2 linked regions of the Drosophila melanogaster genome follow. The protein of the gene in region 2 interacts with the protein of the main gene of each other region in a pairwise test. Each region holds a gene or a part of one and is shown on either strand. Other genes may lie near its edges. The genes, in order: CG8319 and bap.

Region 1 (6,547 bases), about 12 Mb from region 2:
TGTTCCCGTAGAAAACTGGGAGGATACGTGGATCTACAGCAAACATCCTGGCAAGGAGTTCGGAAAATTCGTCCTCACCCCCGGTACCTTCTACAACGATGCTGAGGCCGACAAAGGTAGCGTATATGTGTCGATGTGTCGTCACTCCCTTTTCCAAATCTTTCTCTTCGCTCGTTCTGCCATTTTTATTTTTCGTCGGCGTGTTATCTGCATTTGTATGTGCCCGTGTATGCGGAGAACATGGGCACGAAGAAGAAGAGGAAGAAGAAGAAAAACCACTACGTGTACGTTTTCGAGTAGCTATAGTAACTGTATACACATTTTTTCTCGCCCCCCACCTCCGCGCGGCGCGCATTCGTATTGATGTGGACACACATTATATAGGCATTCAGACCTCTCAGGATGCTCGATTCTACGCGGCCAGCCGCAAGTTTGATGGCTTCTCCAACGAGGACAAGCCCCTCGTGGTGCAGTTCTCCGTGAAGCACGAGCAGAATATCGACTGCGGCGGCGGCTATGTGAAGCTGTTCGACTGCTCCCTCGACCAGACCGACATGCACGGCGAGTCGCCGTACGAGATCATGTTCGGCCCGGACATCTGCGGACCCGGCACCAAGAAGGTCCATGTGATCTTCAGCTACAAGGGCAAGAACCACCTAATCAGCAAAGACATCCGCTGCAAAGATGACGTGTACACCCACTTCTACACGCTGATTGTCAGACCCGACAACACGTACGAGGTGCTCATCGACAACGAGAAGGTGGAGTCTGGCAACCTGGAGGACGACTGGGACTTCCTGGCCCCCAAGAAGATCAAGGATCCCACCGCCACCAAGCCCGAAGACTGGGACGATAGGGTAAGTTGTAAATCCCCGCCCAAATCAGACTTTAGCCCATCGAAAAACCGGTTTGGCTCATTGTTATTAAACAACAACGTAAATCTCTGTAGGCCACCATTCCCGATCCCGATGACAAGAAGCCCGAGGACTGGGACAAACCAGAGCACATTCCCGACCCAGATGCCACAAAGCCTGAGGATTGGGACGATGAGATGGACGGCGAGTGGGAGCCACCGATGATCGACAACCCTGAGTTCAAGGGCGAGTGGCAGCCAAAGCAGCTGGACAACCCCAACTACAAGGGCGCCTGGGAGCATCCCGAGATCGCCAATCCCGAGTATGTGCCCGACGACAAGCTGTATCTGCGCAAGGAGATCTGCACCCTGGGCTTCGATCTCTGGCAGGTCAAGTCCGGCACTATCTTCGACAACGTCCTGATCACGGACGACGTGGAGCTGGCCGCTAAGGCTGCTGCCGAAGTCAAGAACACCCAGGCGGGCGAGAAGAAAATGAAGGAGGCCCAGGATGAGGTGCAGCGCAAGAAGGACGAGGAGGAGGCGAAAAAGGCTTCCGACAAGGACGATGAGGACGAGGATGATGACGATGAGGAGAAGGATGATGAATCTAAGCAAGACAAAGATCAAAGCGAACACGACGAATTGTAAGGACGTCTAGGGAAAATTACGTCGAGAAATATTCGGTATTTTTTGTGTGTTGGTAGCTGCTTTGATGTTCTAAGCAAACGGAAACCACAATTACAATTTGTAAGACTTATAATTTATAAACATACAACTTGTTGTTTTTTTCCATTGCTCTTTTCGAGCGATTTAAGGGTTGTTTAGCTTGTTTATCAAAATGGTGGTGCCACGTGAACAAATCACGGCCGAATGGCAACGCTGTCTATATCGTCGTGTCTACATCGAATTTTGATTTACAGAAAAACGGTGTTGCCACTCCAAATGGTTTTCAAAGTGCTGTTCGAATTCTACGAAAATATAAATCCTAAATTCAATTAAATCCCAATATGAACTATAGAAACAATGAGATATAAACATAACCGAATCCTAATTTATTTATTCGAGTAAGCCGTGGTATTTGGTCAAGAATTTAAGGTATCACTTTAGCTTTAGCTTTTGATCTCCATCCCGATGCTTGCCCAGAAAGTGCCGCTTCAGATGATGTTTCTCCCGGAAGTCCTGCAGGCAGATGGAACACTTGTAGGGCCGTTCATCCGAGTGGCGTCGTCGGTGCTTCGCCAGGTTATTGTTGTCCGAAAAAGTCTTGGGGCAGTGGGGGCATTGGTAGGGCTTCTCGCCCGTGTGTATGCGGATGTGGACCTTAAGGGCCTGCTTGGAACGGAAGTTGGACACGCAGAAGGGACAGGCATGCGGCCGTTCGCCCATGTGCGCATGGATGTGCACCTTGAGGGCCGACTTGTTGAAGAATCCCGTTTGGCAGTATGAACATTTGTGGGGTCCGTTTCCCTGTTTCGATTCCGCGTGGATCAACAGGTGCGCCTTGAGGTTTTGTTCGCGAGTAAAGGCCTGCTGACAGTGGGGGCACTGAAAGGGCGAACGCTCCTGCATATCCTTGCATTTGTGGCTGTCCAGGCTCTGGGTGCTTGAAAAGACCTTTAAGCATTCCGGGCACTCGACGGTGGAATTGCTATTGCGATAACATTGGTGGTTATCCAGATCGGCCTTGAACAGAAAACGCTCTTCGCAGTTTTGGCATACGTGTGAATTGCTGTGAACCCTGTGGAATGAGATATACAATTTTAAGAACAGGTGAAATCATATGTATTGATTGTAATTACTTCATGTGGTCCAGGAGGTTTATTTGGCGCTTGAACTGTTTGATGCATAGTTCGCATTTGAAAGTCTGATTCTTTATACTCCTTAGCTGTCTGCCAGCTCTACTGGTTGTTATGGAAGACTTGGTTGTTCTGGAAGCTGTTTGATGTGTCTTTTTAATTTCCTTGTTGAGTTTCTTCTTTGCTTCCAGATTGCCTTTGTCTGGGTTCTCAATGAATAGGAAATCCTCCTCGTTGGGCTCGTCCTTGATGACCTGCCCATTTAATATCGCCAAATAGAACTTCTTGTAGTTCTCTTCGCATCTTCGCTTGAATCCGTAAGCAGTTCGTGCATCGTGGACACAGGAAATGCACATTTTTTGGGGCATAGCGTCGTCGGGATCCAACTGCACGTCGGCACATGTCTTCACCATCTCAGCGAGCTTGGCTCCATCAACATATTCTTCCACCTGATCGTCGAAAATGCCCAGCATGTTTTCCGAGGCCCCGCCACAAATTCGACACAGGTCCTCCATTGCTTAACTGCTGTTTAACTACAGGTCATATTTTTGGTAAACAATAAACTATGGTATAAACTTTTGTGTGCTTCTTTGTTTGGCTTTGGCTTAATAGAGATGAACTTTTCTGCCGTGACTTTAGTGACTCCAATTTTCGATCACGGTATTTATAAATGAAAGGTAAGCAAAGTTATGTTGTTAATAAAATAACAAGAAATTGAAAATAGTAATTCATTATAATTCATAGTTGATAATTTAGATTCATTGAGTCACGGTTTTTAAAAGTAAAATCTATCGATAACTGTAGCCACAGTCGCCAATCGATTGCATTTAAATAGTTCGCGCTACACCGTTTAGACTCAAATAAAGCAAATAATTGTATTTTAAACGCTTCCGTGAAATTGGCCATGCAAATTAGTTTGATATGGAAAACGTAGTTACTAGTTGGTATATTTATTGCAGACATGAACAGACTAAGTGTGAATATAATACTATCCTTTATGCTGTCTCTTCTGATATGGCAGACTTTCACATATTACTCGGTACTTGAAAATATATGCCAGGAAATCAAGGAGCAGCTTAAGTTGAATATGAAACAGGTGAGATACTGTATCTTTAAATTATGCTTATCTAACAAAGAAGTACATAAATATAATACAATAAATATAATAGCATAGTTATTGACAAGTAATAAAAAGTTTATTAGCCTTCATAGTAACTTCTTCCCAATATTTGCACTAAGCCAAAAGTGTTAATTATCGTATTGCGAATCCGTTAAATGTATGAATGCTTAGTTAAGCTTTTTAAATCGAAATCAGGCTGAGTCAAGAAACCGGCTTGCCTGCGAGAACGTCGATGAGAGGTGGTAAAACAGCTCTGCCCGTTCCCAGTTCGCTGCTAGCCAAAATTAAGCACCGAATGTGACAAAACGGCGGCGCTCAGTTGCTCAACTAAAATCGAGTCCGACGGTCGCGTTAGCTTGGGCTTGGCATTCGCTGCGGACACAGAAGCCTTCATTCCCGCACTTCGTCGAAGGTCGATCGATTTGGCTAACCAAAGCTCAAATTACTAGTCACAAGATGACGAAGTTGGCGTCCACCGCAAGCCTTCTGCTTCTCGTTCTGTCCCTCGGATGGGCGAAGCTCGAGGAGAAGCCACGGGAGAAGCGCCAGTCCAACAAGGTTTGATTGCAATCCAACGCCTTTGGCTTTTTTGTTTACATTAAGTGAACAAATTCTTTTAAGCTGTGTTCTCTATACTATTTAAATTCGGCTAGAACTAGTAATATGATTAAGAAAACACTACTTTCTTTATGTAAATTTATCTGAATCTAGATTCTAGAATTATTCAGTAGCCCAAAATGAATAATTACTGGTATAATGCGAAGCCTAATTAATAGTTAAGGTGAAAGGCATCATATGATTTTTATCTTTCGACTGAATAATTCCTTTTTTAGCTGCACATCACCCTCCTTTACGAGTCCTTGTGCCCGGACAGCAGGAACTTCATGCATCAGCTAGGACCCGTTTACGAGGAGTTCGGGGACTACATTGATATACTCTTAGTGCCCTTCGGAAAATCGCAGTCGGAGCGCAATGGTGCCATCTTCCACTGCCAGCACGGACCGGCTGAGTGCAAGGGCAATCGCCTCCAGAGTTGCGTCATCAACAGCACCGCAAACCAGGCGGCGCAGGTTAAATTCGTGGTGTGCCAGATGCTAGCTCCGGATTATTCCCGCATTGATCAGGTAATCTACCTTCCGCGTACTCGTTGTGCTGTGTTTGCCCAACTGATTAACGCCCATTGTGTGCATTGTACCCATTATATATACCTTTACCATTCCATACGCAGTGTGCCAATGAGGCAGGCCTGCTCACCGATGTGGTCCACTGCCTGTCCAGCGAGACGGGCACCAAATTGCAGCTGCAGGCGGAGCTGGTGACCAAACAGTACAGCCCGAGCTTCATTCCCACCATCGTCTACAATGGCGTAAGTATGAGTAGCCGCGATCAATCGTCGCCGTAATCGAATGCACTCAACTGGTTTTCTTATTCACATTCGTATTCGTTTCCACATGCAACAGGTCTTCGATCAGCAGCTGCAGGACCATTCGCTGCGCGATTTCCGCGGCACGGTTTGTTATATGTTGCGTCAACAAAACTTGCTGCCCAGCAGCAGCACAATCTGCCAGTAGATAGATCTGCTAAATGTCCAATGTAATTGCCTCAAGTTTGGAATGAAATTAAAATTCATAAACGCACAAGAATGCCTGTCCTCTGGGGGAATGGAATCGATATAATCACAAGCGAATCAATAAGGTCACAGAGAACAAACAGTACAAAATTGGTTTAGGTTCTTTCTATTTTAGGGCTATAATTCGTTCTAAATGTAACATAAATCAAATTTTGATATCATATATATATAATTTAACCAATTGTTATTGTTCACACTTTCCTCTGTGCAGCACACACACCGTTCAGATAATAATTTATATTGATAAGTAAGATACAGTTCATCAATGACAATCGTGTAAATGTATATAGTACATGCAGTGCGTAGGGCGACTAATTTATTTACAAATGCGTACAATATAAATTCATTATTTTTGGATCAAGGGGCACAGATTTAGATGATGGGATGGAAAATGGGGGATGGGCGAATATCGTTAGGTTTTCCTCTCGATGAACCAACAACAAATGACTTAACGACTAGGTGCTAATAGCTAATCTACAACTAGGATTTCAATTTCTTGCACTTTGTGTTTTGCTATGGTCGCTGACGGGTGTGCAGAAATAACAATTTGTAGACGGGTTTCCGTTGTAATTAAAGCATTTCGCTCAGACAGCGGTGCCCGGAGCCTTACCAGCGGATGAGCCCGCTGAGGCGCCGGTGGCCACCGCGTTGAGACTGAGCGAGCGACGTGGAGCCGGCTTTGGTGGTACCTGCGGCTTGACGGTCGCAATCTTGGCCAGCGTAACGCTTGCCTCGCTGATCAGCGGCTGCTGACCCGGTCGCTCCTTCTCCTGGAACTCCACGTAGCCGCTCTCGTCGCTGTCGCTGTTGTCGTCATCCGGATGGTCGCTCCTCTCCTGCTTGTCGCTGCCGGAATTGCTGCGCTTCAGTGTGATGCTGCTCGAGCTGCTGTAATTGGTGGCATCGCCGCTGTTCTTGCGCAGCTGCTGCTCCAGTCTTTGGTAGATCATCATCTGCTCCAGCACTTGCGCCTGCTCCAGCTCCAAGTCCGGCGACTGCTCCAGCTGGCCGGGATCGCTAACCCGCTTGCTGTTGTACTCCTCGTGGTTGGCATTTGTGACTGTGCTGGCCGTCTCGCAGCCGCTGGATATGGAACCCTCGTCGCTGTCCGGACTGGTCAGACCCTGCTGGGCGGATCCTCCGCC
Region 2 (6,687 bases):
TGCCGTCAAGTAGCTGACATCTCGTAGCACCCCGGCATGTGTGTCATAAAAAAGGTTGCATAAACAAATCCGGAGGCGGCGCAATATAAACAAATTAGTAGCCGAGCCGCCGGACGAGCAGGACGATTTGCATTCACTCCAAGACCACATGCAGCGTGCGTCTTCAACCCTTCGAAATCCGAAGCGTGCTGTAAAACCGAAACTCCAAGTCAAAGAGTCCGTGAATTATGCGTGTTATTGGTTGCCGAGTGTGCGGAATGGGGCGGGCCTCGAAAAACTCACTCAAAATTCAGAAAACACTCAGTCTTGTTTCCCACTCGTTGCACTTTCCTAATTGCCTGTGGATAATTTAAAGAATAATATAATCAGTAAAATGTACGATTTTCTATGGAAATCAAAAGCACGACATCAAATTTTTAGCAATTTAGATTTATTCAATTTATTTAGGTCTTTATGAGTCAAAAACGGAATTTAAAAACACATTTTAAAACTATTTCATCCCAAGAATCCACATAGAAAGTTGAAGCACCTACGTTTTCTAAAGGTACAGTCCGTGTCTGAACGTAGAAGGGAAATCATATAGTTTGGACCAGTAACTCGTGTTTATTTTAAAACAGAAAATTTAAATAATTTAAATAAATACACAAATCTATAACAGAAATATAAAATATGACAAGAATTTGGGAGCACAGTGGCAAAAAGATACATCCTCAAGCCGCTGTATCTGTTATTTACCCAAGTAATTACAGCTGTCAATCGATTTTAGTGTCCCAAATTTGTCAAATGCCTGCGTGCTTTTAGTCTAAGAATGCGTCCAAGAGCAATATACGTACTTAGAGATCTCCTCATACCAATGTTTTTTCAGTTGGCAGTCACCAGACCAGCACGTTCAATGCCCCACTTTCGAAAATTTTCAGCACTTTAGAAAATATGTGGAAAAACTCCGAGGCTTCATACGCTAGGCGCCGATTGAAAAAATAATTAAAAGGTTTCATTTATCCTTCTATCCTTAAATCTCAGATATTGTATTATTTATATAACATATTTTTTTAAATATTTTTATTTGTGAAAGGGGTGAACATTTTTAGGGGATATTTAAAAATGTTTCTCTGGAAATACGAGCAACATTGTTTCTAACGACATTGTTTCCTTTTGAAGTGAATGTTTAGCAATGATCAGTCGATCAGTCGACAATTTCCACTGGGCACATGTCCTTTTCCGATCCTGGGCGTCAGTTGGTGATTCTATTTGTTTGTTTGTTTATAAACATCAACAGGTCGGCCGGCCGTTAGAATTGTCGCCGCCGGGCACTTGAGGCAGGTCCTTGTGTCGTCAGCCACCAACTGTGCCGCTAAGGACATGTCTATGTTCCCAATTCCGATCCTAATTCCGATCCCAATCCCGTTCCCACTCCTCCTCCTCCTCCTCCTCCATCCCACCCGGGACGATATTGTGCAAAAGCGCCCGGGAAACATCGTATGTAAGTCAGTGGTTTGTGGGTCGCAGACGTCCGGCCCGACCTTTCTGACACATTGAAGCACTTCTATGTCGTCATTGAGTGGGCTCGTCATAGTCGGTCATCATCAGCGGCTTTCGGCTTTCGCAAGGCTCCGGCCACACGCATTCCACTTCAGCGGATCTCATCTCGAGGCCCTCATCCGCCAGATCGCTGTCATTCTGAAGGGTCTGAGAAGCCTCTCGCCTTCCCGCCCGCTGATGCGAATTGAGGTCATGTGGTATTAATTTATGTAACAATCGTTTAGTGGCTAAGCGCCTTTTGATGTATTCTTTTCAGAAAGCAGATCTCTTTTAAAATACTAAATACATTTTAAAATCTAGCAATGAGATCCCACCTCTATTTATTGTAGATTGATACTTCGTGGTTTGTTTCCTTTGCCAACATATTAAAATTAAAAATGAACCTTAACGTGAATAGTTTAACGTAAATAATTGTAAATTCCTTTGTGAAAAAGGAAAAACAAACCCAATCAATTGCTAACTATATAATAAGGCGACTTCAAAGAAGAATCAGTTAATATATCTCGTTGAAATATATGAACATGTATTGTTATAAAACACACAATAAATCACTATAAACCTTTGTACTTCTTCCAGGATAAGTTGATTATCGTTTTTCGAACTGCATTGTTTTAACTGCATGAAGTGAAGAAATTCAAGTGAAGCAGAAAACTCAAAACAAAAACCAAGTTTTATTTAATTCATAATTTTATTTAGCTCTCGGGTAGATACGACTACAACTTAATGCTACTAAAGCTATGGGACATCTATTGGTTACACATAGAGGCTAAAACACAATTTCTACGGCTATCACAAAAACGTAGCCCCGGTTCTCCTCCGAGACATGGTCACTCCCAACCTAGTCGATCTCCACATTCTCGTCAACATCCTCCGCCGCCGAGTGAACGCTCTCCGCTCCGCTCTCGACGCTCATCATCTGGCCATTGGGACTGGGACACGGCGTTCGCTGGGGACGCACTGCACCCGGGATGGGGATGGGAACTGGCGATGAGGACGCCGAGGATGCAGTCACAAAGCTGGAACTCTGGGTTGGTGGCGGTATGGGTTGCGGCACCTTGTGTTGCGGGTAGAAGTACGGGAATGGCATCTGCATCTGTGGCAGCGGAAGTCCGCCGTAGGCCAGCTGCAGCTGATGGCGGTAGATGTTGATCAGGGCGGGATCGAGGCCGTGTCCAGCACCGGGAGCAGCCATGTGAGCGTAGGTGGTGCTGCCATCCTCTCGCACCAAGACTTGGACGGGAACCCTCTTGCTGGCACCCAAAAGGGCGGCCTCGTGCTGCTGGATCTGCTTGCGCTTGGTCTTGTAGCGGCGGTTTTGGAACCAGATCTTCACCTGGGTCTCCGTCAGGCGCAGGCTCTTGGCCATCTCGCTGCGTTCCGGACCGGACAAGTAGCGCTGTTGGGCAAAGCGGCGCTCCAACTCGAAGACCTGGGCGTGGCTGAAGGCGGCACGCGACCGCTTCTTGCGGCTCAATCCACTGCCGTCGTGGGATAGCGGCGACTCCGAGGGGGAACTGCTCAATGGCGGTGGTGAGTCGCAGTCTGTAAAGGGAAAATTACCAAAAGTTAGCATACATCCTATACAAAAGGCCAATGAATAAGTAGCGTTCTTTTCAGAGTCCATTAGAGCCTGAATGGCGTTAATTTCGTGCAGGTTACTTACCGGAATCGTTGCTGGTGCAGCGTCTCATGTCCAAAGGAGCAGCGAGGGTGGATCCAAAATAGGCCAATTTGCGCTGCATGTAGTCGGCGGCACTGGAGTTCGATGTGCCCGTTGCCTGGTGATGGTGGTTATTGTTGTCCATCGCCGCCGCATAATACTGCAGATAGTTGCTGGGTTGCCTGGCACTTGGTTGGATCTCCTTGGGTTGGGTCAGCTTGTAGAGGCCGAGATCTCGGCAGCAGAGTGGCGGCGACTTGGAGATCGATCGCTCGCGATCGGAGGAGGGTTTCAGCTTTTCCGGTTCCGGTTCGGAGTCCACGCTGGACATGCGACGTGTTTCCGGATTGCTGCGCGTTAGGATATCGTTGATGGAGAAGGGCGTGGTGAGCGATTTGCTCAGACCCGCCATCGCAGCACTGACACCCGCGCTTTCCATATTCAGCATTTTTCGAATTTTCTGAATATTTCGGATATATATATATAGGTATTGTCTTTGGCCTTTCCGACACTTGTTCACTACGGATTTCTATTGATTTTCCGATCTTCACGACTCGAGGGCTGCGCAGCGAATGTGCTTCAACTGGGCGCTCCGGGCTGTCTTTAAATAGTAGCCGAGATCCCCGGCGAGATTCACTCGGTCTCACGGAGTGGAAATGTGCGCCGTACTCAAGTGGCTCGCCGGCATCCGTGGGGGTGGAAACTGGCATTCGACTCCTGCCATTGGTGGATCCGAAACCTAGCTGGAGAGCCTTTGAGTTTCCTCTCAAGTGCGTAAACAAAGTCGGTCGTAAATGGCTACGGTTGCTGCCACGTACTTGTATGGTGCGCCTTAACACGCGGGGAGTGCATGCATCCTGTTTATTGTTTATAGCCCGCTAACTGCTCCTCGGTGTTTTGTCTTCCACATTTTGGGTACAGTCCTCCGAATGGGTTTACATACTAAACCCATTCCCATCTCAACTCATTGTTTAAACGAACGATTTGTTTAGAATTTAAATCATTCGGAAACAATCAACCGTAAACTCCAACTTTTTAGTGTAAGTAGGTTAGTTGGGTCATGGGATTGTTTGGAATCGTTAGCCAAAAACTAAACAATACTTTAATGGGTCTAACCAAAAATATTTCTTCGTAGCTGCCTACTTCAAGTCGAGCATTCGAACTACAATACATAATATAATCACGTATGCCACTTGCTTACATTATGACAAATTATTAGGCAGCTAATATCTTAAAATTCTATAAATTATTTTACTGAACCAAATATTATTTTAATAAATCCAGCCAGCTGGTGGAAAAGTAAGAAAGCCATATGAAGTATTTACCTTACATAGCTTTTAAATTAATAAATAAAATCTAAAACAGATGGTTTTATAGTTTTAAAATAGATAAAAATTTAGGCACTTATTTGCAAAGTGTTTCATAATTTTTTATACAGGCCGTAATGTGTATTAACTAAGCAAATGAAACTAAAATAATAGTGCTTTTAACATGAACATAACTAAATCAAACCAGCGAAAATGGCTAAGACTGAGATTTCAGAAACTATAGTTCACATTATAAGCAACTGGTTAAGTAGTTAACCTGGGCAAATATTCCAGAGATCACTCAAAGAGTACTCAAGGTAAGTTCTTCTCATTGGTTGGCATGGAGCCCAAAGAGCGCTGATTGGATGCCCGGAGGCTGTGGCAACATGGCTGCCCACTCAGTCCGAAAGGCACTCAACTGATTCACTCGAATCGAGTGGCATGTGGGATGCTGGGATGTTCGGATGCTGGGAACAAATCCGAGCGAAACGAGCACGCGTTCTCATCGCCTCGCCGCCTGGGGTGGCTTTTGTGCCTTTTGATTCCGGATCTCGGTGCGATTTCTGCTCTCCACTGCACTTCACACCTTCGGGCTATAATCTTTTTATTGCCAATTCAGTGGCTCTTAAAGCCGCGGGCGCCGCAAAGTCAAGCCAACAATGGAAGACCAGCGCGAAAGTGATGGAAGTGAGCGGGGTGAGTGGGTGAGGGTTCCGTGTTTTGCGGTCAGATTTGAGTAACCAATTCAGGACCAAGTGCGGTGTGCAATTGGAATGGATCGGGGCAGGAACTGCTACTCGTTATACCATTTCGCCTGAATGGGTTTCGATAATACTCGAGTAATTAGTATATAATGATGCTTGTGGCAGACGCACGCGCCCAAGAGACGCGACTCTCCGCTTGTGTTGTCGCTAATTTTGTTAGCTTCTTTTGCTGATGCGATTACCCTCGAATGGAGCAGGTATTCAATTACATAAAAGTGGAGGGGGCCGAGTAAATCCATCCCACCCCTATGATGAATTGGCATTTTCAATTAAATTCGACAGTTTCTTGTTTGATTTCCGAATGCCCATCGCCCAGAATTCTTGCAGACTTGTTGTCCTTGTGGTATTGAGTTTTATTTAATGGTTTATCAAAAGCCACTTCAAATGTTTGCCTTTCCCTGCTTTTCATTACCATTCATGGATCTGGCTGGGAAACCTGATCTCCTTGTGCCACTTTAATGTTGAATGGGGACAAGTGCTTTTCTACGTTAAGTTTGCATTGATTTTGTCTCTCACAAAATAGAAAATATTTAAATTCATAAGTACGGCTGCTTATTCCGTTCTTGAAAATAATATCAATATTAGTATTCATGTATTTTTATAATATAAAATGTATTTTCTTTTATATTTATGTGTTAAAATAAAATACGTGATTAAAGTTAATTGGTTACTATCTGTGTTGTAAACTGGGTTGTGAGCCATGCATTTCATGATTCCTTACATAATCAGCATAAACCATACATAAGCAGCAGTTAAAAATAAGTATGCCAGAAAAATTGGTAAACAATGAATTAATTTAATAAGTCAGTTGGCTTAAAACAGGACCTACTTTTTTATTATTACGATCTTGATAATATCGATACTGTCGTCAACTATAATGCTCAAAATATAAATACGCTACAGTAGTAATATGGAACACTAAATACTAGTTCTGCTTATCCAGACACACAATTAAATGTCTTATTGCTTAATTTCACTTAAAGAAATTATGTTAATTTTTATCGCTTTTAAAACGGCAGCTCAGTGTGACCAGATGAGATAAAAAACATAAGTATTTGACACAACAAAATTCTCTACATCTGTTCAACAGAGCCTTGTACACGTCTACACTTTCAGCGGTTTTAGTCTTTGCTTAAGTCGGAGACTTTATATGGAGACTATTTAGGGAGAATTTCAAAATTCTACAAAGGTTCATTATTTTTGAATATATCATTTGACTCATAGATTAATGCAGATGCCGAAAAGGGGACATATTTTCCAAAGTTTGAGGTTAACTTAGAATTGGGAATAGGATGTGCTAGTTATTCTTATCTAGCAGGAGAACAAAAATAGAACGCGGAAAGATAAATTTAACCGTAAAACATCGATAAAGTAATTAGTTAGCGCTGGCGGCATTCGTTCAAAAAGCCACCATCCG

Evidence for each region.
Region 1: the proteins of bap (region 2) and CG8319 interact in a two-hybrid assay, tested with the Drosophila melanogaster proteins (one large-scale study listed by BioGRID).

Annotation. Positions count from the first base shown.
Region 1 is NT_033777.3:9,624,018-9,630,564, reverse strand, and holds CG8319 (uncharacterized protein), read right to left. Parts: upstream 3,245-6,547; 5' UTR 3,168-3,244; coding exon 2,656-3,167; intron 2,595-2,655; coding exon 1,955-2,594; 3' UTR 1,889-1,954; downstream 1-1,888. Other genes in the region: Calr (calreticulin), read left to right, coding at 12-116, 385-857, 950-1,504; CG9427 (uncharacterized protein), read left to right, coding at 4,229-4,330, 4,606-4,896, 5,001-5,138, 5,233-5,343; CG8312 (uncharacterized protein), read right to left, coding at 5,987-6,547.
Region 2 is NT_033777.3:21,385,975-21,392,661, reverse strand, and holds bap (bagpipe), read right to left. Parts: upstream 3,783-6,687; 5' UTR 3,648-3,782; coding exon 3,203-3,647; intron 3,082-3,202; coding exon 2,378-3,081; 3' UTR 2,213-2,377; downstream 1-2,212. UniProt on the Drosophila melanogaster protein: Involved in the determination of cell fates in the dorsal mesoderm.